Tamandua tetradactyla: one gene and its partners. The protein of the gene in region 2 interacts with the protein of the main gene of each other region in a pairwise test. Links are inferred from orthologs where the notes say so. Each region holds a gene or a part of one and is shown on either strand. Other genes may lie near its edges.

Region 1 (7,440 bases), on a different chromosome or scaffold from region 2:
TTCTTATGTATTGTATAGATATCCCTTTTTAGTTGATGGTGTACTGGTGTGGCTGGAGGGAAGTACCTGAAACTGTACAGCTGTGTTTCAGTAGCTTTGTTTCTTGAAGATGACTGTCTAATGATAGAACTTTTGTAATGTGACTGTGTGATTGTGAAAACCTCGTGTCTGATGCTCCTTTTATCCAGGGTATGGACAGACGAATAAAAAAATAAGATAATAAAAAAAATAGATAATAGGGGGGAAATAAAGAGTAAAAAATTGAATAGAATGAAATACTAGGGGTCAATGAGAGGAAGAGGTAAGAGGTATGGGATGTATGCATTTTCCTTGTTATTTCTTTTTCTGTAGTGATACAAATGTTCTAAAAATACACCATGGTGATGTATACACGGCTATGTGATGATATTGTGAGCCAATGATTGTATAATCTGGATTCACTGTATGTGTATGAAGATTTATCAAAAAATCTTTATCTATGCCTATATCTATATCTATTTATAAAGCAAAGGGGAAATGGCTGTGAGATAGCTGGGTCTGGCCTCTGGGGCCATCTGTGCCATGACTCTCCTCTCTCCACTCTGGGTTAGAAAAGTTTGCAGAAAATAGGATGATGCAGCTGAGGGACTCAGGGTTATGCACGTCTAAGGGGAGAAGCAAAGAAAGCTGGTTACCGAGAGCTTCATGATGCTGGTTTTGGTCTCCTGGGGGAGAATGTCTATCAGCTTCTTCATTTTGACCCCAGCGTCTTTCATATCTGGCTCAGGCTTGAAAGGTTGAATTGCGGATTCATAATCGGAAAGCGTGCCCATGAAGATGGTTGTAAGGACATGGAGAAAGCTTTCACACACCATCGCTGCAGCTGGGGCCCAGAAAAAGAGAAAAAATATGTATCCAGACCATCTTCCAAACTGGCCAGCCCCCTGGCTGGACATGCCCATGATGCCAATGCCCAGGCTGGGCGGCGGGGCCAGCAGCCCTTTTGCCCATGGAACAGAATGTCAGCTCTGCCTCTGGTGCCGCTCCTGGCAGTTGACTCTCCTGGTGCTCTGTGAATGCTTTCTGGGTTATGGCCAGCTTTTTCTGGCTTCCTTGGACTTCCTGGGTGGGGGTGGGGCAAGGTGCCATTTGGCCTTTCTGCTCGAATTCTAGGCAGGGTATTGCCCAACAGAAGCTGCTGTTCTGAGTTGGGAGCACCTGGAGAGGCAGCAGCCTTGGGGACTTACTTCCCACTAGAACATGCCTCTTACCGATGGTGAGTGATGGTCTGAGCCACATGTCACTGTGGGCTCGTGGCAAAGCCAGGCTCTGGCAGGAAGAAACACTTGTACCAGCCAAGCATGAGCCCCCACAGTCAGGCAAGCTTCTTTGGGCTCTTCCTTGTCCTATTGTGCTCCCTGTAGTGCTCCCTGGAGTGTGCTCCCTTCTCAAATCTCTGCTTCCAGGAGCTTGGGGGAGAGTCACACTCCCCACCCCCTGCATGCCCCCATCCCTCCACAGAGGCGCAGATGCCCAGTACCTGCGTTCTCTGCCTTATACTCAAATTCAGCTCCTCTCCTGGACTCCAGGCCCCTACCCCAAGTGGCGACTCTGAGTCACATGCTCTCCAGAACTTAGATTCCTGCTTTGTACCTTGCTATATCATCAGGCAGGTTAATTTACCTTTCTGTAGCTCAGTTTTCTCCTCTGTGAAATGGGAGTAATATACCATCTTCAGAGGATTGTTGTAAGAATGAAGAGATAGTAAGTGAAAGAGGGACACGTTGCAAATGCTGAGTAAATGCTAGAGATATTGCTGCTATTTTACCATATGCACACAAACGAATATACAAAAGCCTCCCAGACCCACCCCGAACATAGTTCAGTACCATCTCACAGAGCCACCCACTTTTACACCCAGCACTGCGGTCTTCTAATTAACATGCATTGCAGCCCAAAACGGTATTATTTCCCTGGAGAAACAAACTTCTCTACAAGATGGCTGCTTCTTGCTTTTGGTTTTATAACCTCCCAAGGTCATAAAGTTTGTCATCGTCATGGGTAGCATGAAACTTTCAAAGCGAATTAAATGGAATTCGTTTATTAAAAAAAGCAAACGAAACGATAGCATCTTCAGATTGGGGTGGAAGAAGCTGATGCAGAGTTAAAAAACCAGTCAGGTCACCCAATTCCCAAAGAAGGGGGGACTTGGAGAGAAACGTGAGAAAGCCACCCTTCCCTCCCTCCTTTCCTTTCTTCCCTCCCTCCCTTCCTTTGGTTCTTCCATTCCTTTCCACCTTAGTGACAGCAGCAACTGCTCAGAGGCTCCTACTTCTTTTTGCAGAGAACCAAATGTTTAGAAAACTCTCTTTTGGGCTGGCCGTTTCCTAGAGGGTAGACCTCTTTCTGGTTCATTCTTCTCTGCCCAAAGAGAAAAATGCCTTGGGGTGGGTTTCATCTGGGGACATGAGGCTCTGCAGCTCCTTTTCCTGGTCCGTTTGCCTGTCCGAGGCGGGAGGAGACCCCAAACCTGGAGGCTGCACGGAGAGCTCTTGGCATCTTGGGGTTTGTCCAAGTCTGGGCTTTGAGCTGCTCATAATTCCTATTCCGTTGGTTATCAGACCCTCTCATCTAGATGGGCTCTCCAGCATCCCTCCCTTCAGTCTGCTCCGTTCCCTGGAATTGTTAGGTTCTTGGTTATGGACAATGGGACCCTTTTTGGGTTTCCTGACAGCCTCAGAGCTCCCTCCAAGCCCTCAAGATGGGCTCTGAGCTTCCTGGCTCAGAGTCAGTACCCCAGACTCTCCCCCAGCCACAGAGGGGACTCGAGCAGTTTACCCTTGTCCTGAGCAGAACTGGGGGGCCGTGACAAGCCCTGAGGCCAGTCCTGGACTAAAGAGACTCTGGGGGGCTCACCTGGGGTGCAGCTGAAGGCCAGAGTGACCAAAGCAAGAGCAGCAAGGAACTTCATGGTGGGTGGGAGGCTGGGGGAGGCTCTCGCTTGTCTCTGGGCCGGTGGGCTTGGGTGAGACCTGCCCGTGGCAGAGCCTTCTTATATGCTCCAGGGAGTGCCTGGTGGGGGGAGGCCAGGGCACTGCACTGTTTACTTGGGCATCAGCCCGGTGGAAAAAGTAAATATCTTATTTTCTCAACTCAGTTTCTGTCCCCATTGAAACGGAGCTCTCAGACAATGGGTCACTTTTGGGGTAGGGAGTCCAGAGTCCTGCATGGAGACTGGGCCGCCCACCTCACTCTCTGGCCCTGAGCGCTGGGGGTGGGGTGGGGAGGGGGCAATTCAGGAACAAGGTAAACAATTGTGGGCTGGTCAACCGGGGGAAACCGAGGCCCAAGGCCCTTCAGCAAGTGGCTGGGACGGGACTAGAACTCAGGTCTCCTGACATCCCGCTGGCTCCTTCCACTGCTCCCCTCCAAGGACGGCAGCTGGGCAACATCGTCCAGAGGTCCACTGTGTCCAGACCTGGGGGAGACCCTGTACTGAAGTGTGTTCATAGATAAAGGGTTTTCCTAGGACACCTATCAGAACCAGAACCGGATCCAGGCTGGACGAGGCCCTGCACCAGGCTGGGTCTGCTTCCACCCCAGAACTGCCCTTCTGGTGGCCAAATTCATAGGCACCTTCAGTCCTTATCTTGCTCGACCTTTTAAATGGCTTTTGACCTGCTTGACCGGTTCCTTTTCTCCTTTGTGTTCTCCCATGTCTCAGTTCTTTCCTGTTTCCCCCCTCCCTCTCCATTCTCTCTTGTTCTCTTTTGATGTTTATCCTTTATTGACCCAGTTAAGTGTTGGTGGTTCCCAGGCTTTGTTCTCAGCCTCCCCTCAAGTCCCCACGCCCTGTGGTCGCTACCTCCCTTCTCTGATGCCAATACCTCCTGGCATCTGGCCTGGTCTTTCCAAAACCACCTCCTAATTGTCTCCCCCCCTCCCCATTTCCTAGCTTGACCCCTCAGCCATCCTCTGAAATGCCATCAGAATAATCTTTCTAAAAGACACCGATCATGCCATTCTCCTCGAAACCCTTTTATAGCTTTCTTTTGCCAACAGGTCAAAATTCAAATGTGGTCTACAAGGTTCTTGCCCGTGGACATTTGCCTCCCATTTGAGCCTCATTCCCTCCACTGCCCTGTTTGATTTAACCCCGTCTTACTAGTTGTAGGTTCCAGAATATTTCTAGATTCTTTTTTTCCATGCATATTTCTACCTTTGCACAAACTGAGCCTGATGCCGGAATATACACATCTTCCCTTGTGTACGTCCTCCAAATCCTATTAGTATTTCAGAACTCAGCCAGACGTCATTCATTCATTCAATAAGTGTTGAGTCACCGGCTATGCACCAGGCATGTGCCGGGAGTTGGGAGTCGTGGGGACGTGGAGAGGCGCTGCCCAAGAGCTCACTGTGTAGCTGCGGGCAGTGTGGTCAGCAGAGCCTTCAGCTGTTGGTTGCTTCCAAGTCTTTTTCAGCTTCAGAGGAATGCCTGGCCGAAGGTCACGGCTTTCCCAAAGTTGCCTGCATCTGGGGACCCAGCAGGGATCGGCTTTCAAACCTGGGCACTTTGGCACCACATGGGACAACTCCAACAGGCAGTTCTCACTCTGGAGCTCTCTGCTAGGGTGTGGCTGGGGTTATTTATTTATTTATTTATTTTGTATGGGCAGGCACTGGGAATCGAACCCGGGTCTCTGGCATGGCAGGCGAAAACTCTGCCTGCTGAGCCACCATGGCCCACACTATTTATTTATATTTTAAAAAATATTTTCATTGACAAATCTTCACACACATACTATCTATACGTGGTGCATAATCAGTGGCTCACAATCTCATCACATAATTGTGTTTTCATCACCAGGACCATTTTTTTAGAGCATTTGCATCATTCCAGGAAAAGAAATAAAAAGAAAAAAGAAAAAATTCATATATACCATACACTTTACCTTGCCCTCTCATTGATCACTAGTATTTCCATCTCCCCAATTTATTTTACCCCCTAGCCCCTCTATTATTTATTTATTTTTTAACTTTTTGAACTGTATAATATAACATATATACAAAGCAAAGAAAGAAGCAATAATTTTCAAAGCACTCTTCAACAAGTAGGTACAGGACAGATCCTGGAGTTTGTCATGATTTTTCCTTCTAGCTGCTCCAGAACATAGGAGGCTAGAAGGAATAAATATTTTTTTTATCATCTCAATCGACTTTTTTTTTTTTTTGCAAAAAATAGCATATATACAAAAGAGCAATAAATTTCAAAGCATAGCACAACAATTAGTTTTAGAACAGATTTCAGAGTTTGGTATGGGTTACAATTCCACAATTTTAGGTTTTTACTTCTAGCTGCTCTAAGATGCTGGAGACTAAAAGAAATATCGACATAATGATTCAGCAATTATACTTGTTTCTTAAACCCTACCTTCTATGTATAACTCTACCATCACATTTGCTCTTTCTATCCCATTCTTTAGGGGTATTTGGGCTATGGCCATTCTAACTTTTTCATGTTGGAAGGGGCTGTTGATAATATGGGGTAGGGAGATGATCTAGCTGATGTTCTGGAGAGGCTGGGCACTCTAGGTTTCAGGACTTATCTGGTCCAGGGTCCCTATCCAAATATGTATATATATATATATATATATATTTTAAATGTGGGCAGGCACCAGGAATTGAACCCGGGTCTCCTGCATGGCAGGTGAGAGCTCTGCCACGGAGCCACTGTGGCCCGCCTTTTAAAATTTTTTTCTTTTTTTTCCCTATCCATGTATATTTTTACTCATCTGTCCATACCCTCGACAAAAGGAGCATCAGACACAACGTTTTCATAACCCCACAGGCACATTGTAAAAGCTCTATCATTCTACAGTCATCTTCAAGAATCAAGGGTACCAGAACCCAGCTCAACAGTTTCAGATGCCTCCTTCCAGGGAGGCTGGGGTTTTGCCCGGCCGTTATCATAGCTTCCACCCCTTCCCCTTGGCAGGCGTTGAACTCTAAGGGCGGTCTTGCACTCCAAACTCCATCTCAGCATCTGCTTCACGAGACCCCAACCCACAATGTGGTTTCAGCAATGAAAGAGTGCCTTGTGGCGCTCCTCTCTGGTGGGGGCAAAGATGGGTGGACATTTAAGCAAATGAAATAATTACAGATGGTGACATTCCTAGGGAGGAATTAAGCATGATGCTAGGATAAGGAAAGAAAAAAAGGTGTGAGGCTTCTTAGATGGGGAAATCAGGGCAGCCCTCTGTGAGGAGGTGACAATTCTTAGAACTGCAGGTTGGGAGGGCTCTGGTCAGAGGGGGCAGCCAGCACCAAGGGCCTAAGTTGGGAAGGACCCCTGTGTGTCGCGGGAGCCCATGGGGGCCCTGTGCCTGTGTACCAGCTGTACAGGGCCAACAGGGCAAGAGCACACAGGTCTCAGGCTTTAAGCTCAGTCACCGGAAGCTTTTTAATCAGGGAGTGATGTGATCCGATTGTCCTTTTCTTAAAAAAAAAAAAAAATTATTTTAGTAGCATATATGCAACCTAAATTTTCCCATTTTAATGACTTTCAGGGATACAATTCATTGATGTTAATTACATTTCCAGGGTTGTGCTGCCATCGCTGCCATCCATTAAGATTGCCCTTTGGGGAAGAAGGAAAGAATCCACACCCCTCCCCCACACCCCCATCCCCCACCCCCACCTCCCCTGCCTGTTTAGATTTGGCATAACCAGTCTGTACCCTGTGTTCTGATCTACCCCAGTCCTATCCAGATGAGATTCATCACATCTCTAGTCGAAGTCTGATCCGTTTTTTCAACGTTTTCAGCAGTTCCTGTATGGAGTAATGCAGGCTCTCAGAGCTCCAGAGTTCAAATCCTGAGTCTCAGGAGTCACATAAATACCCGGAGTTTCTGGGAACGACCAGGTTATAAACAAATGGCCCTCAGGAGAAGGACTGGTGGTGAGTGAGTGAGTGTGTGTGTTGGGGGTGGGGTGGGTGGGGTGGGGGACAGCTGAGCAGCTGTTGCCGATGTCCCCCCGAGAGGCGGTGGCATCTGGACCAGGTGACAGGCAGGGGAATCAGGGCAGCTAAGAGAGGCGATGCTGGACAGGCTGTATGCTGGACTGAACGAGGCAGCCAAGGGACAGGGAAAAGCCAACTGTGCCCCCTGGCTGTCTGGCTGGGGTCCGATAGAGGAATAGGGTTGGGCCCGGAAAATCGAGAGTGAAGCCTTCTCCGACCGGCTGGTTCCCCTCAGTGGCCTCACTCCCTACCTGCCTCCACAGGCCCCTCCACTGTCTTGCATTTTAACGTTGCCATTTGTGGTGCCCTCCTGCGCCATTTGTGGTGCGCCTTTGCTTGGGCCGGTCCCCCCAACCCCACCCCCACCCCCACCCTGTGTGGCAGAGGCCAAGCTATGTAATGGTTGCTAACCAGGAACCTGTGGAATGCGCCAATGCATG
Region 2 (6,939 bases):
GATAAGCAATAGAACTGGAGTTCAAATCCAGGTATGTCAACTACAAGCCATAAAATCACACCAATTCAAAATACATGCTATAGTTCACTGACTACTTAGGTTGTTATTACCTTTAGGGAGTTTGGCTAAGAGGTTATTAAAGGAACCTAGGAATAATTTTAAAATTTGATTGTTCTACTAGAAGTGTACATGGGCAGTGATCCACTTCAAGGATCCTGTGTATCAACCACTCTCCAGATGGAGACATTTGTGCTCTCAGAGTTGCAAAACCTTTCTCGTAAGGTGTATAATGTAACTTTGGGGCCAGACATAACTGGGTTCTCATCTCAGCTTTGGCACTTACTCTGTAGCCTTAGAAGAATCATATAACCTGTTAGTTTCCTCATCTAATGGGGAATAACACCTTGTCAGATGGGGAATAACACCTAGATCATTGGCAGGATCAAATGAGATAATGCACGATATGTGCTTGATACATAATAAGCACTCTTTAAATGGCAGTTCATATTCTTAATAGATTGAGGCTGACAGGGCAAGTGCTTATCCAAGGTCTCACAGTAAATTAGTAGTAGAGTAAGGATTTTCGGCTTCAGGCCTCTGATTCCCATTACCTATTTTCCTTTTGGGGAGGAGGGAATGGGATATTGCAGCTAAATCTCTGGCCCTCAGATCTGAACTGGCTTCAGCAATGCTGTAGCTAGTCTTTGAGCTGACAGAGCTAAAACTGCTATTCTGTCCCAGGGGAAAGATACCCAAAAAAGAGCCTTCAGGCCACAGTAGTTGCTCTCCTGTCATGTTTTGACTGCCTTTAGCCTCAGTCCCTGCTTTGAAGGTATTTTCCCTAGCCAATGGCTTCTATACCTCTCTCCTTAGTCCCTTGTACCCCATTTTACCATCTAACCTCAAGCTCCTCCTCTTATCCATCCACTGGTCTAGTCTAAGAGCAAACAAAGAACAAAATCCAGTTCACCTTACCTAACCAGATAAATTAACCTGCTCCCCTTTAGAGTTCTATTTGGTATTTGGTAATACCCACTGGGCAATCCTTTTTTTTTTCACTAGAGAGGAATGGGCTGAAATAATAACGTAGGTCCTGTTATTAATCCCTTTTTACTGATGCAGAGCCTAGGTATAAAGAGGTTAAGTAACTCAATAAAAAGTGAAGAAAAATAAGTCAGGATTCCTAAACCTCCACACTAGCGTTGTTTTGGGATGGATAATTCTTTATTGTGGAGGCATTATAGGATGTTTTGCAGCATCCTTGGTCTCTACCCACCAGATGCCAGTAGCACCCCCTCCCCAGTTTGAACAACCAGAAATGTCTCCAGAAATTGCCAAATATCCACTGGGGGACAAAACTGCCCCTGCTTAAGAACAACTGCTTTGGAGCCTGGCACAAAACTAAATGCTTGGTAAATATGAGTTACCTTTTTCCCTAGATTTTCTCCCTGTCCAGGCGCCTTGTTCACAAAGCCACTGACTGCTTTGAGCTGTAATCGTCCTTACATATGAACTCATTCAATCCGCTTATTGAATTGATGAGGAAAAGAAGGCCTGAGAAAATGTTTCCTCATTCCCCTGGAGGTCTCTAGAACCTTGCAGCTTGTAGGGCAGGGAAGGGGGCGTCTAGGAGGATGACTTTGAATAGCTTTTTGCTTTATCCCTTCTTTGATTTCTCTCCTTCTCCCCAGGCCCACCACTTTCAGCTAGTCCAGGATCAGAGTGGACTTGGTGGCAGTGGCATGCCTGCCTCATGATAAGAGAACTTGGGTGAATAAGTGGAGGAGATTGTGCCCCTCGTAGGGAAAGTTAGGCTCCTTTAGGAGTCCTGATCTCTGAAGACTTACGACTTCTTTCCTGAACCCCTAAACATGTTAAGCTTCATGTTTTCATACACACTTTCATACATCACCTCTAGGTCCTAGGATCCCCAGAACTCCCTCTGTTCCCATACAAAGACTTCAGGAAAATTCTTTTAGCAGTCAGAGACACCAACCCACCAACCTATTAAGAGCCTTTTAATTCCATTTGTCAGTTATGATCCTTCACTCCCCCCTCCCCTTCAATCCTCTCCAAATCCTATTCCCAATCCTTTTACAATACAAAATTCCAATCTTTTGGGCTCTGTATTGCAACCTTCATCCTTATGTCCCAAGTCCAATTAACACAGTTTCCTTAATCCCTACTTCCAATCTCTGAAGCCTTCAGCTTCGCACCCCTACCTCTTCCAAACACCCAATTCTCACCTTAGATTTCTGACCTCCATTTAGTTTTAGCCCCATCCCCTGCATCCTATTAGGTTGCTCATCCTTTTTATCCACCCCATATCACGTATTGACTTCAAACCTTGGCTAGGTCCCTTCTTTTAGCTAGCAAGACAATACATCTCACTGATCCCCACAAAACTCGCCCCTCAATTTTTTTGGTATCCTACTCAGGAAAACCTTCCCTCTTTACCAATTAGAATCGCTCCTGCTCTCTGTGATCTCAGAACTTAACCCCCCAAATGGATACACACTCAGATTTTCTGAAACATCCTGAGATCATGCACCCTAAATCTCATCAAGGCCCCCAAATTCCCTCCAATTATCCAAATCTGGCATCCCAGGTCCTTCCAGGGTCCTCAGATATCCCCACATCTCCAGATACTGCACTCCGCGTTCCTCAGAGCCCCACATTACCTCACAGTTCCCGAAATGCTGCACAGGAAACCTTCCCTGAGCCCCCACAATCCCAGCTGCAGCTCCTCAGAGCTCCCCAGCCCCATCGAATCCCTCCAGAGCCTGCCCCTAATGCCCCACCCCCACCTCATCCTACCCCTCTGATCCGGTCCCCAGAGCTTGTTATTTGGACGCGGGCCCAGACGCTATGCGCCAGCACGACACCTCATCTCGCCGCGCAGCCACCACCCAGGACTCCAGCCGGGGTCCCTCATTCCCGACCCTCTTTCCCGCCCCCTACCTGACCGCCAGCGGCTCCGACGAGTCCACAGCCCCTAGCCCTCCCGCCCGCCGCTCTCTGCGCATGCGCCGCTTCGCTCCTCTTGGCGAGCGCCAATTCGTAGAGCCTCCTGTCCATCACTGCACCCCGCCTCCCCCCCGAGGTATGCTGGGGCTTGTAGTCGCGCGCGGCCAAGCTTTCCAGGCCCTGCGGCCCGGTTGTGGCAACCCCTTGGCGAGGAACTGGGGTCTCTGGAAAGGTTTCCTGATAATCCAGGTTCCTGTCACATTGCACGGATGAAGATGCTGAGGCCCACGGCCGAAATGGACTGTCCCAAGTTCATGCAACGAGTCGGGAGCTAAACCCCTCCACTAAAACGTGACTGTCCGGGATTGTCGCCAACAAAACCTTGGCAGCTTACAGAAATGATCTCGCTAACCCTCAGCTTTCCCATCTGAGAAATAGGCCAAAGAAAGAATGTTACTTTTACTCTGGACTCGCTTACAAGGCAGTGTCGCAGGTCTCATATTTCTCCCCATGACATATATAATACTGGAGACATGTTTATCTTATAACACTTTGCGTTTGAGAAGGAGTTTTTTGCTTACTTGGCTGAGAGGAAAACAGCAAAGGTACCTATAGGGAATATATCCTGCAGCTCCTGTCCCTGCAGACGGAAGCTACCCAGGAACCCAAGCCTAAGGCTAGCTTTAGAGGGGAGAGGGTTGGGGAAGGGTCTTTCCAGGTGGGAGGTGGTCTAACCTACTGGCAAGCCAGGACATGTGGCCCTTTGGGTTATTTGGGACCAATTACCTGTCCTGCAGGTGACCATACTATATAGTTTAGGAGCACAAAGACGCTCTGAAGTAGAATGCCTTAGGGTTGGAAATCCCGTTTAGTTTTATGACCCCAAACAATGATTGCCTCAGTTTGCCAGGCTACTATACCTGCTATGCACATACCACACAATGGGTTTGGTTTAAACCACAGGAATTTATTGGCTCATGGTTTCAGAGGCTGAAAGTGGCTTGCTTCCTCCTGAGGAGGGCACTGGTGTTCTCTCTGGCTGGCAATCCTTGGGTTCCTTTGTGTTCTTCCAGGTTTCTGCTGACTTGCAGCTTCTCACCATGACTTTCTCTATGCCTGACTTTCTTCTGCGTTTAAAGGACTCTAGGCCCACCCTTTTTCAACTGGACCACACCACACCTTAATATTAAAGTTAATATCTTCTAAAGGTCCTATTTACAATGGGTTCACACTCACAAAAGTGTGGCTTGAAATTAAAAACAAGCTAAATTGGGGTACATAATTCAATCAACCACAATAATAAAACAACAACAGTGACAAAACCAACATCCTTAACTTAATGTCTGGCTGCAGCTAAGCATTGCATATGTTTAAATCATTTAATCCTCATAAGAATCCCATGAGATAAAACAACTGATGCCCAGATGGTTGAATAACAAGGCCAATGCTCATAGATGGTGGGACCCAGACTTGAACCCAATTTTGAGAACCCACCCTCTTAACCTCGATTAATCTCTCTATCCATTTCTTTGTTTTAAAATATTTTTATTGAGCTACCTTCACACACATACAGTCCATACATAGTATACAATCAGTGGCTCACAATATCATCATATACTTGTGTATTCATCACCATGTTCATTTTTGGAACATTTGCATCACTTCAGAAAAAAAAAAAAAGTAAAAAGTAAAGAACTCACACGTCCCATACCCCTTACCCCTTCTTCTCACTGACCACTAGTATTTCAATCTACCCCATTTTTTACCCTTTATCTCCCCCCATTATTTATTTATTTATTATCTTTATTTTTTTACTCATCTGTCCATACCTTGGGTAAAAGGAGTATCAGACGCAAGGTTTTCACAATCACATGGTCACATTGTAAAGGTTATATAGTCATACAGTCGTCTTCAAAAATTAAGGCTATTGGAAAACATCTCAGCAGTTTTAGGTACTTTCCTCCAGCCATTGCAATACAGCATAAACTAAAAAGGGATATCTATATAATGCATGCGAATAACCTCCAGGATAACCTCTTGACTGTCTGAAATCTCTCAGCCACTGAAACCTTATTTTGTCTCTTTTTTCTCTTCCCTCTTTTGGTCAAGAAGGCTTTTGCAATCTCATGATGCTGGGTCCCAGCTCATACTGGGAGTTCTGTCCCACATTGCCAGGGAAATTTACAGACCTTGGAGTCATGTCCCATACAGGGGGTAGGTCAATGAGTCCACCTGCTGCCTTGGTTTAGACAGCGAGGCCACATCTGAGCAACAAAAGAGATTCTCTAGGGGTGACTCTTAGGCATAATTATAAGTGGGCTTAACTTCTCTTTTGCAGGAATAAATTTTATAGGGTGGCCCCAAGATCGAGGGCCTAGCCTATTGAATTTGTTGTCCCCACTGCTTGAGAGAATATCAGGAATTCCCAAGATGGGGAAGTTGAATATTTCCTTTTTTCTCCCCAGTTCCCCAAGGGGACTTTGCTAATACCTTTTTATTCTTGGCCCAAATTAATCTGGGATGTCTTGCGGCATCACTTTAACCTGTACAAACCAACAAGATCTCATGCCCTATTTAAGATTCCATGTAATTATAGTGTTCAAATAAACTGACTATACAAGTTAAATAGGATAATGTGCCACCCAAAATATAAATTTTGCACTAAATAACATCACTTCCTTTGGCCTCACACAGAAGTTGAAGTTTTAAAATATGGACCATATCATCCTTTACCCTGTATTCTACAGTCCATATCTTTATCTCTAAATGTAGATGATGTTTGCCCTGAGAATTAACTGAGATTATGAACGCGTAATGTTTTGCACTTAATAAGTTACTTTTTAAAAATTAAAATTAGCTCTCACACTTCTCTGGGCCTTGTCTACAAAAGCCCCAGCACATAGTATTGCAGATGCTGAGGACCCCAGGAGGCTAGCTTGATATATTTCAGGCATCCCTAGATCAGGCCTGGGGGCTCTGGACTCCTGAGTTGACATAGCTCTCTGAGACCTCAGTGATGCACTTCCAGGCCTCTGCAGTTTGAGTAGAGGCCAGCAATAGATTGAGTCATGACTGGGCTTAGTAGGGAGCACAGTCTGGGACTAAAAAGCCCGGCACAGGTTTTGCTCAGAATTGGCAGCTAGTGGGTGCAGGCTGAACTTCCCAAGGTCAGAGGAGGAGGAGTACTTGCTTTTCCCACAGTCCTGGGCTCCTGGGAGCTCTGATGTGCTCAATTGCCGCTCAGCAAGTTCCAAGACTTGCAATTTGATTTCTCACAAAGTCTGGTCAGATTTTATCATCCTCTTGCCTATTCTGAAGGTCAGTGTTCGCAGTCACATCTGTTAGCACTGGACCCAGCACAGAAGAGCTCCTGAGTGAGTCAGACTCTGTAATGTGACCTAAGGCAGTCTCATTCCCTGTCTAGCCTGGAGTTATTTTAACTGCAACATAACTTCGTGGGGTCAGCCAGCTAAGAGCTGCCATTTTTTGAGTACCAACAATATGCCAGGCACTTCACATATATTGTCACCAGTCATGATCTACTCACCACCTATTCAAGTAGATATCAGAGGAGCAAACAGAGGTGCAGAAAGATTAAATAGCTTGTTCACAGTCACCACCAGGGAAATGGTCGAGCTAGGATACAAATCCAGGCTTGTCAGATTGATAAAATGCTTCTAACCACTATGCAGCATTTTATGACAACAGCTCTCTATTTTATTGAGTAAGGTTTGGTGTAAAACTCGAAACAGATAAGGAGATGACAGTGCTTAGGAAGTCAAGAAATGTGGAACCTTCATGACTGTCACTAAAGCCACATGGCATAATCCTGTCAAGCAAAGCTCTCAGATGAGCTGTTCTGAGCAACAGTGCTGGAGGAGAGCGGAGGTTGCCTCTATCCTGGTTTCTTGCCGTGTTGTTCCCTTAGTGAGGCTTGTTTCATGGTCAGGATGGGGGTCCCTTTGGGCAGGG
Region 3 (7,461 bases), on a different chromosome or scaffold from region 2:
TGTGCCTGGTGTCCCTTTACTACAACAAATCTCAGCTGTGAGCTGGCTATATGCTGAGTCCTGTGTGTCTTCCCAGTGAATCATAGAATTTGGGGCTGCTCATGGGGACCCCCGACACATGACCCCTTCCCCACGTTTCTTTTCTCCTCAGCACATATCACTATCTGACACCCCAGACCACTTCACTTATACATCTGTACGGTCGTCTCCCACACCTGGGGCCCATCTATCTTGGGTACAGCAGTACCCTAGCATCACTCTACAGAGACACACAGAAGACACTAGGAGACACCTGCTGAATAACAACTGTAACAGCTTTATTTCCAAAGCTGGAGTTCCTCCCCTGGGCTTGTAATGGGAAGGGGGCCTTGGGCCCCGGCAGCAGAGCCTTGCAGGATATGGGTGAAAGGAGCCAGGGGAGCTGGCCTGGGAAGCGGCGGGTCCTTGGAGACACCTCACACAGGCTCCATCTGCAGTTCCTCCCCATCCCCAGCCTCCACCTGGTGGAAGGCGGCGTGAGAGCCGATGACGACCAAGGTGGCACCTGTAGGAAACTGGGCAGGTCAGGGCAAGGCTCCCTCACCTGCATGTCCCCACCTGGCCATACCACCCAGATCTTTACTTACCAAGGACCCAGAAGACCGCTGAGCCCGCACCGGCCAGCCAGAAGAAGGGGAAGGAGATGCCTCCGGCCAGGGCATACTGATGGGCTGGGCTCACCTCTCGGCCTGGGGGGTGGATGGCATTGGGGCACGGCTCCGACACTCCATGCCCTCTCCCAGATTCCCCCGCCATCCCCCAACAATCTGGTGTCACAAGCTCTAGAGCCTTAGGATCTAATTCAAACCCATCTCACCAAGACCCCATGAGTCTTGATCACAGCTTCTCTCCAACATCCCCATCTTCCTCTGGAGTATCAAACTTGTCCTCAGCCTCCGACCACTTGCCCTTCAACCCTTCTTCCTCTAGAAAACTCCTAGCACCCCCTTCCCAGTACAGGGCTCTCCTGCTCCAACCTGAACTCATGTAGGCCAGGGAACTCAAACTGATGGCTCCTGGACCAAGTCTGACCTGTGGCTATGTTTTCTGAACCTGTACACTGTTTTCCAAGAACAAGTGGGTGACACTACTGCATTCTCTGGTGACAGCAACAGGCCGAAGACAAGTCGTGGCTAAGCTTTAGATGCTCTCTCCATGTCCTGGGGTGGCCCAGCACTTCCTCACCCAGTCCACCTTCATCGTGTACATGACTTGCAGGCCCCTGAATTTTAGTTTCAGTCCCTGAAGTACTTTAAGTCTCACTGATTGTGTGATCCCAACTTCTCCCTGCCCCCACTCCAAACCTGAGCTTCCCCTGGATGGGGACGAAGGTCCTCCTTTGTTTGCCCAATGGAACCTCATTCCAGGCTGGAACCACAACAAGGTACTTTATAAAGCCATAGGTCTCAGCTTCTCTAAGTCCTAAGCTCTTTCTGGTCCCACCTTCCAGCTTCTATCTCAGGAAGCAGGAAAGGGGAGAGAACAGGAACTAGGCCAGTGTAAGGCCACCACCTGGTGTCCAATGGGGGTACCTGCAGCTGATGCTTTCTGCAGAGGTTAGGGAGGACCAATTAGGGAGGAGTGGAATGGCTTGGGGAGGAGCCAGGTGAAGGGTGGGTTTGGGGTATCTCATTGTGGATTTGGAGAATAGCAATTGAGAGAGCTGAGGCTGGGTAGGGGCATCTAATGTGTCTGGGATTTTAAGAGATGAGCTGTAGGAGACTTAGGGTAGATCTAAGTTTGAGTAGATTTAAATTCAGAGGGACTTGAATTTAAATTTAAGTTTGGGGGTCTGAGGTTTGCATTCAGAGAGTCCAGAAGTTGAGAAGTCGGGGCTCGGTCTGGCCAAGGGGTATCTCACCAAAGAGCACAATCTTGGACTGCAGAGTGCGCAGATAGAGGATGTAACAGGCACCAAAGAAGACCGCCAGAGCCACCAGCAGCATGGGGGACGTCAAGCTGGGAAGGAGGGGAGTGAAGAGAGGCAGGGGTCAGGTTGCAGGGACTGGCCAGCCAGGGGTCCCCCATCCTTCTACAGGGCAGATGGAGGGCTTCTTCCTTGACACCAGGTCACGCTGGTCACAAGGCCTAGCCCAGATGTCAGGGGAGTAGGGACCCCACCCTCTGGGACACAAGGCGGGGCCTGGCCAGCGAGGGGTGCGGCAGCTTGCTGAGGGCGGGGTCCACCGGGCAGAGCAGGGCCACCGGGTGGGGGCGAGGCCAGGGCGGGCGGGAGAAGCACTCACACGCAGTAGAGGATGAGGCCCAGGAACACGAACACGTAGTTGCTCTGGTAGTGCTCCACGTTGCGCACCAGGCGCTGGCACAGCTCGCCCAGGTTGCGGGGCCGCGAGAAGCGCCGCTGGTCCACGAAGGGGCCCCAGGGCCGGATGGTTGCGCGGCGCCGCTCCAGCCACTCACGGCCCGGGCCGGATGGAATCAGTTTGGGCAGCAGGGTCCTGGAGGACGAGGCCGGGTCAGCGGTAGGCTGGGATAGAGGCCTGAGACCCCGAGGAAGATGAGGGTTGAGAGGGCCGGACTCCGGGCTCCTGGGGGAGTGGGGCTTCGAACTCCTGGACCCCGGGGAGGAGGGAAGGAGGGGCTCAGACTCCAGAGTCCTCGAAGAGAAGGGGACCGGGAGCCTGGACTCTGGTGTCTGAGAGAAGAGGTTTGCCATAGGGGGTCCTGGGACCCGGGGGTACAGGGGGTCAGAGCCCGGACTCCGGGTCTTGGGTTGGGGAGTGGCTAGGGCCGGGTCGCTCACGTGGCGCTCATCCCATCCACTTCGGCATCCTTCTGCTGGTTCTTCTCGGCCGCCATATCTGCGGTGTGAGGGGCAGAACCACCGAAAGGAGCCCGGGGCCCCGCACACCCCGGGCCCCGCCCAAGCCCGGCCTCACCCGCGAAATGGACGTGGCACGGCTCGGGAGTTACTGGGGACGGTAGGGCTGCCGCTGAGCCTTCTGGGAGTTGTAGTCCTGGAGGTGTCTGGGAGGTGCGGGCGCCATGATGGAGGACTGGCTCGCAAATCACCTTGGGAAATGTAGTCCCAATGAAGTCCCAGGGAAGGGGGGGGCAGTGGAAATCTCTGGGCATTGTGGGAGTTGTAGTTCTAGAGCTGGGGGCGTGGAGTCGGGGAAGGTGAGCTGTCGGGAGTAAGGGTATTATGGGAGCCCTCCTGGAAGAAGGTGGTGCTGTGAACACTAGAAATTAATAAAACACTGATTCCTGGGCCCGTACCCCAGATGCTCTGGTTTAGGGGGTCTAGAGTGGGGCCCATAATTTGCATTTCTACCACGTTCCCAAGTGATGTTGATGATGCTGGTCCCTGGACCACATTTTGAGTAGCGAAGTTGTAGAGAATTCGTGGGAAATTATTCCTTTCTCCCACCAGGGACAGAGGCTAGTAGGAGGGCTGTGGCTGTGGGGGTGGTGTCTGGGAGTGAAGCACAGCCTCCCTCCAATCTTTGGGCTTTCAGGGTCCAATGGGTTAGGACTAGACCCCGCCCACCACGCACCTTGGCATAGGAAGGAAGTTGTGAGGGGGAAAGAGCTGCAAATTTATAAAAGAGGAAGCTTGTATAACTAAAAGACCTGGGATTCTGAGGTGAGACTTAATTGAAAATGCAGGCTGTGTGGCTTTGACTGAGTCATATCTCTGAACCTCACATCCTCATCTGGACAGTGGCGAGCCTCAGAGTGCCACACTCATGGAGTTATGAAGATTCAGTTAAATGAGCCAGATAAAGTGCTTAAAGTTCTCAACACTTTATACATGCTCAATAAATATAGTCACTGCTGTCAACACTGTATCATCATTAATGTTATGATGATCATTTCTGGAGTTCAGCCTTCCCCAATTTCACAGTTGCATATTAGGGGACTCTGGCCCCTTGGGTATCCCAAAGAGTGGCTGGTGTCTGAGGCATGGGCCTTTCTTTAGTTCCCCAGCTGTGGTTCTCCCAAAGTCTTTAAACAAATTCCTCAGTGGACTGTCCCTGCCCCGGGGTGAATTGTGGGAAGACAGGACCAGAATTTTAAAGAGGGTGCAGTGGAACAGGGCCTTAAGAAATGAATGGAGTGCCATGAAGTCTGGGCTCCTTACATGAAGTGAAGTCGTAATTTTCCAAGCCTGGGACTGAAGGGAGAAAACCTACGGGGAATAGCCAGGTGACTGTTAGCCCCAATTCTTATCTCCCAAGATGCTCAGGCCTTTTGGGTAGGGCCTTTCAGCCCTGGTGGAGGGCACTCCTGCTGGAGGTGGGGAAAGATGACTCCTGCCAAGGGAGCTAGTGCAGCAGTAGTCAGGGAGGCTACTGATGGTGTGCCTATCCGGCCCCAAGCTACAAATGAGGGTCAGATTGTCTAGTTACCATTTCCTTCCCCTCTGTCATCCTTGGGCTTTCCAATTTGTTCAAGTTTTCCAACTCAAGTCCAGCTTTGCCTCAAAAAATCAAAGGAGGTCTATAGAGGGACAGTTAGCCTAGAGCATGGATGGGCTAGCAGCACTGGGATGGGGGTGGCAGAGGTAACCAGTGGAAGCGCCCCCGAAGGGAAGATGAATCTTGGGGAAATAAAGTTGGAAGCCAAGATCCAGCTACCTCTTCCCAAGATGTTATTCTTTCTCCATGGCCAACCTTGAAATGGGTTTCCTTATGAGAACTGATTCAAAGTGATTTCATTCCATCACCTGCCAGTACCTGTTCTGAGTAGTTGACATATTTGGGCAAAGGCTGGGAGACATGGAACATGGATGATGTATAGTGGTCTCACAGGGACCACGGCAAGAGATGTGGTTGCAGAGGAGAGGACATTATAGGGGAGGGACCCTCTGAACCCCAGGAGGAGGGTGAACTTTGAATTGTAGGAGTTTTGAAGTTGGGGCCTTGACACAGGGGCAGTGTAGGAGAAGGGTCCCTTGAAATAGGAACTGTGGGAGGGGAGACTGTGCTCATTTGAATCTGTGGTGGACCCTAGAAAAGCCATATCCTTTAATCCTCATTCAGTATTGCTGCGTGGAAGCTTTTTGGTTACCCCCAGAGATGTGACCCACCCAATTGTGGGTGACAGCTTTTGATTAGATGGTTTCTATGGAGGTGTCTCTCTACCCATTCAAGGTGGGGTTGCTTTCTGGAGCCCTTTAAGAAAGAACCATTTTGGAGAAAGCTTGAGAGTCACAAGAGCCCATGCAGCCAGAAGCCTTTGGAGATGAAGAAGGAAAACGCCCTTGGGGGAGCTTCATGAAATAAGAAGCCTGAAGAGAAGGCTAGCAGAGGTTGCCATGTGCTTTTCCGGTTGACAGAGAAACCCTGAACATCATAGGCCTTCTCGAACCAAAGTATCTTTCCCTGGATGCTGTAAATGTGCAACTTAATAAATTCCCCTTTTTAAAAGTTGTTCCATTTCTGGTATATCTCACTCTGGCAGCTTGCAAACTATAACAGGTCCCTACAGCAGGGGGTTGAGGGGAAGTGAGCCCTGAATTAGGAGCATTGTGGGAGGTGGTGGGCCCCAGAGCCAAGGGAATTCTGAGAGATGGGGCCCGGAAACAGGAGAATTGTGGGGGATGGGGTCACAGAGAGAGGGGGATTGTGGGAGATGGGGCCCAGAGACAGGGGAATTGTGGGAGATGGGGCCCAGAGACAGGGGGATTGTGGGAGATGGGGTCCAGAGACAGGGGAATTGTGGGAGATGGGGCCCAGAGACAGAGGGATTGTGGGGGAAGGGGTCCTGGATTAGGGGGATGGGGAGAGATCAGGGACCCCTGGCAAGACTGTGGGATGTGAGCATGGCCCTGTGTGCCCTCCAGCCTCTTGGGTTCCCAGAAGAAGTGGCGCTGAGAAGGTCAGAAGCCCTTAGCATAGACAATCAGGATCCTGGGTTATAGTCCCTGCTGTGTAACCTCAAGGGAGTCCCTCCCCTCTCTGGGCCTCAGTTTGCCCATCTGTATATGTGAGTATTTCTTTCCTTTTTTGTTAGAGAAGTTGTTGATTTACAGAACAATCATGCATAAAACACAGGATTCCCAGGTACCACACCGTTACTAACACCTGGGGGCACTAGATGAATAAAGTGCTTCGCTGGCCTTCCAAGAGGGGTGCAAGCTTGCACAGCTCTGTCAGGATCAAGCTTCTGTCCTGGGCACCAGGAGGGGAGTCCAGCACCCACGGCCCCTTCCCTGCTCCGACACAAGCACTCCTCCCTAAGCTGTCGCTTGCTGTAATGGTCACGCGCACACACATAGGCAACAACCCACACTCACATGAGCCCTCGGAGCATCCGGGCCACCCACACACCTCACACTGGTAGCCAGGTGGGCCTGGGTCTGGCCCCACCCTGCCCTCTGACCTGTGTCTTTGAGCTGTGTTAGAGGCAGCCTCCAGGGAAGTGGGGTAGCTGCCCCACCAGAATGGCTAAAATTTAAAAAGACAATATAGAGTGTTGGTGAAGGCACGGAGCCACTGGAACTTTCATACACTGCTGGTGGGAATGCAAAATGGTGCAAGGGCTTTGAAAACAGCCTGGCAGTTTCTGCTGAAGCTAAACATAGTCTATGGTGTGTCCCAACAACTTCTCTCCCAGGCCTGTACCCAGCAGCGGTGCACACACGTCATCTACAGACATTACTAGGAGGTTCCTATTCCTCGCAGTTCACACCGTCAGGGCCACCAAGCTGGAAACAACCCAAATGTCCATCCACAGGCGAATGGATAAACAAAGAGTGTTAGATTCACACAATCGGATACTGAACAGCGAGGCAAGAGAATGGGGTGGCGATAGGTCCGACAACGTGGGAGGGTCTCAGATGTAAGCCGGACCCATCAGAGCACAGCGCACACGGTGGGAGCTCAGTGGACCACCGCCATCATCATCATCTTCATCCCCACCACCTCCCGGAGACCCTACTCCAATATGAGAGGGTCCCCGACTCCACAGTCCTAACTCTTATTCTCAGCCTCTTCCCTGCGCTGACACTATAATCCCATCACCAGACGAATTCAAGCTGCTCTTGCCCTGGCATTCACTGCATCCTAAACCCTGCGGATTCCTTAACCTACTGAGATTCTGTGGCTCTCACGAACGAGCCAGGCTAAATTTCTGGAGTTGTGTGAATCACCCAGCAGCGCGAACCCCCATGGGACACGGTCCCCCCAGCACCATTAGTCTGGAAAGCAAGCACAACACGGCACACCACTTCTCTCTCCCCATTGATATATTTGATAATTGTCCAGAACCAGAGATGGCGTCAGTCGGGGAGTGAAAGGAGTAAAAAAGAGGCCAGGAGAGGGCTGGGAGGGAGGGTAGGGATGGAAGGGTGAGGAAGGGAGAGAAACAGAGACACAGAAAAGGGAGAGGGAGAGAGAGAGGCAGGGGGCAGGGGTGGGGGGAGAGCAGCCAGCCTGGGGGAGAGGGGCAGGAGAT

Evidence for each region. The genes of interacting proteins can lie anywhere in the genome.
Region 1: the proteins of TRIM32 (region 2) and SCGB1A1 interact in binary tests that used the Homo sapiens proteins (3 or more experiments, as listed by UniProt). The two-hybrid records come from large-scale screens. The link is inferred for Tamandua tetradactyla from reciprocal best matches to the Homo sapiens genes TRIM32 and SCGB1A1.
Region 3: the proteins of TRIM32 (region 2) and RABAC1 interact in binary tests that used the Homo sapiens proteins (3 or more experiments, as listed by UniProt). The two-hybrid records come from large-scale screens. The link is inferred for Tamandua tetradactyla from reciprocal best matches to the Homo sapiens genes TRIM32 and RABAC1.

Annotation. Positions count from the first base shown.
Region 1 is NC_135335.1:12,174,446-12,181,885, forward strand, and holds the start of SCGB1A1 (uteroglobin), read right to left. Parts: upstream 3,006-7,440; 5' UTR 2,951-3,005; coding exon 2,896-2,950; intron 863-2,895; coding exon 675-862; intron 1-674. UniProt on the Homo sapiens protein: Binds phosphatidylcholine, phosphatidylinositol, polychlorinated biphenyls (PCB) and weakly progesterone, potent inhibitor of phospholipase A2.
Region 2 is NC_135328.1:40,933,545-40,940,483, forward strand, and holds the start of TRIM32 (E3 ubiquitin-protein ligase TRIM32), read right to left. Parts: upstream 3,012-6,939; 5' UTR 2,962-3,011; intron 1-2,961. UniProt on the Homo sapiens protein: E3 ubiquitin ligase that plays a role in various biological processes including neural stem cell differentiation, innate immunity, inflammatory resonse and autophagy.
Region 3 is NC_135342.1:21,683,676-21,691,136, forward strand, and holds RABAC1 (prenylated Rab acceptor protein 1), read right to left. Parts: upstream 3,006-7,461; 5' UTR 2,860-3,005; coding exon 2,804-2,859; intron 2,499-2,803; coding exon 2,286-2,498; intron 1,999-2,285; coding exon 1,901-1,998; intron 729-1,900; coding exon 627-728; intron 545-626; coding exon 456-544; 3' UTR 297-455; downstream 1-296. UniProt on the Homo sapiens protein: General Rab protein regulator required for vesicle formation from the Golgi complex. May control vesicle docking and fusion by mediating the action of Rab GTPases to the SNARE complexes.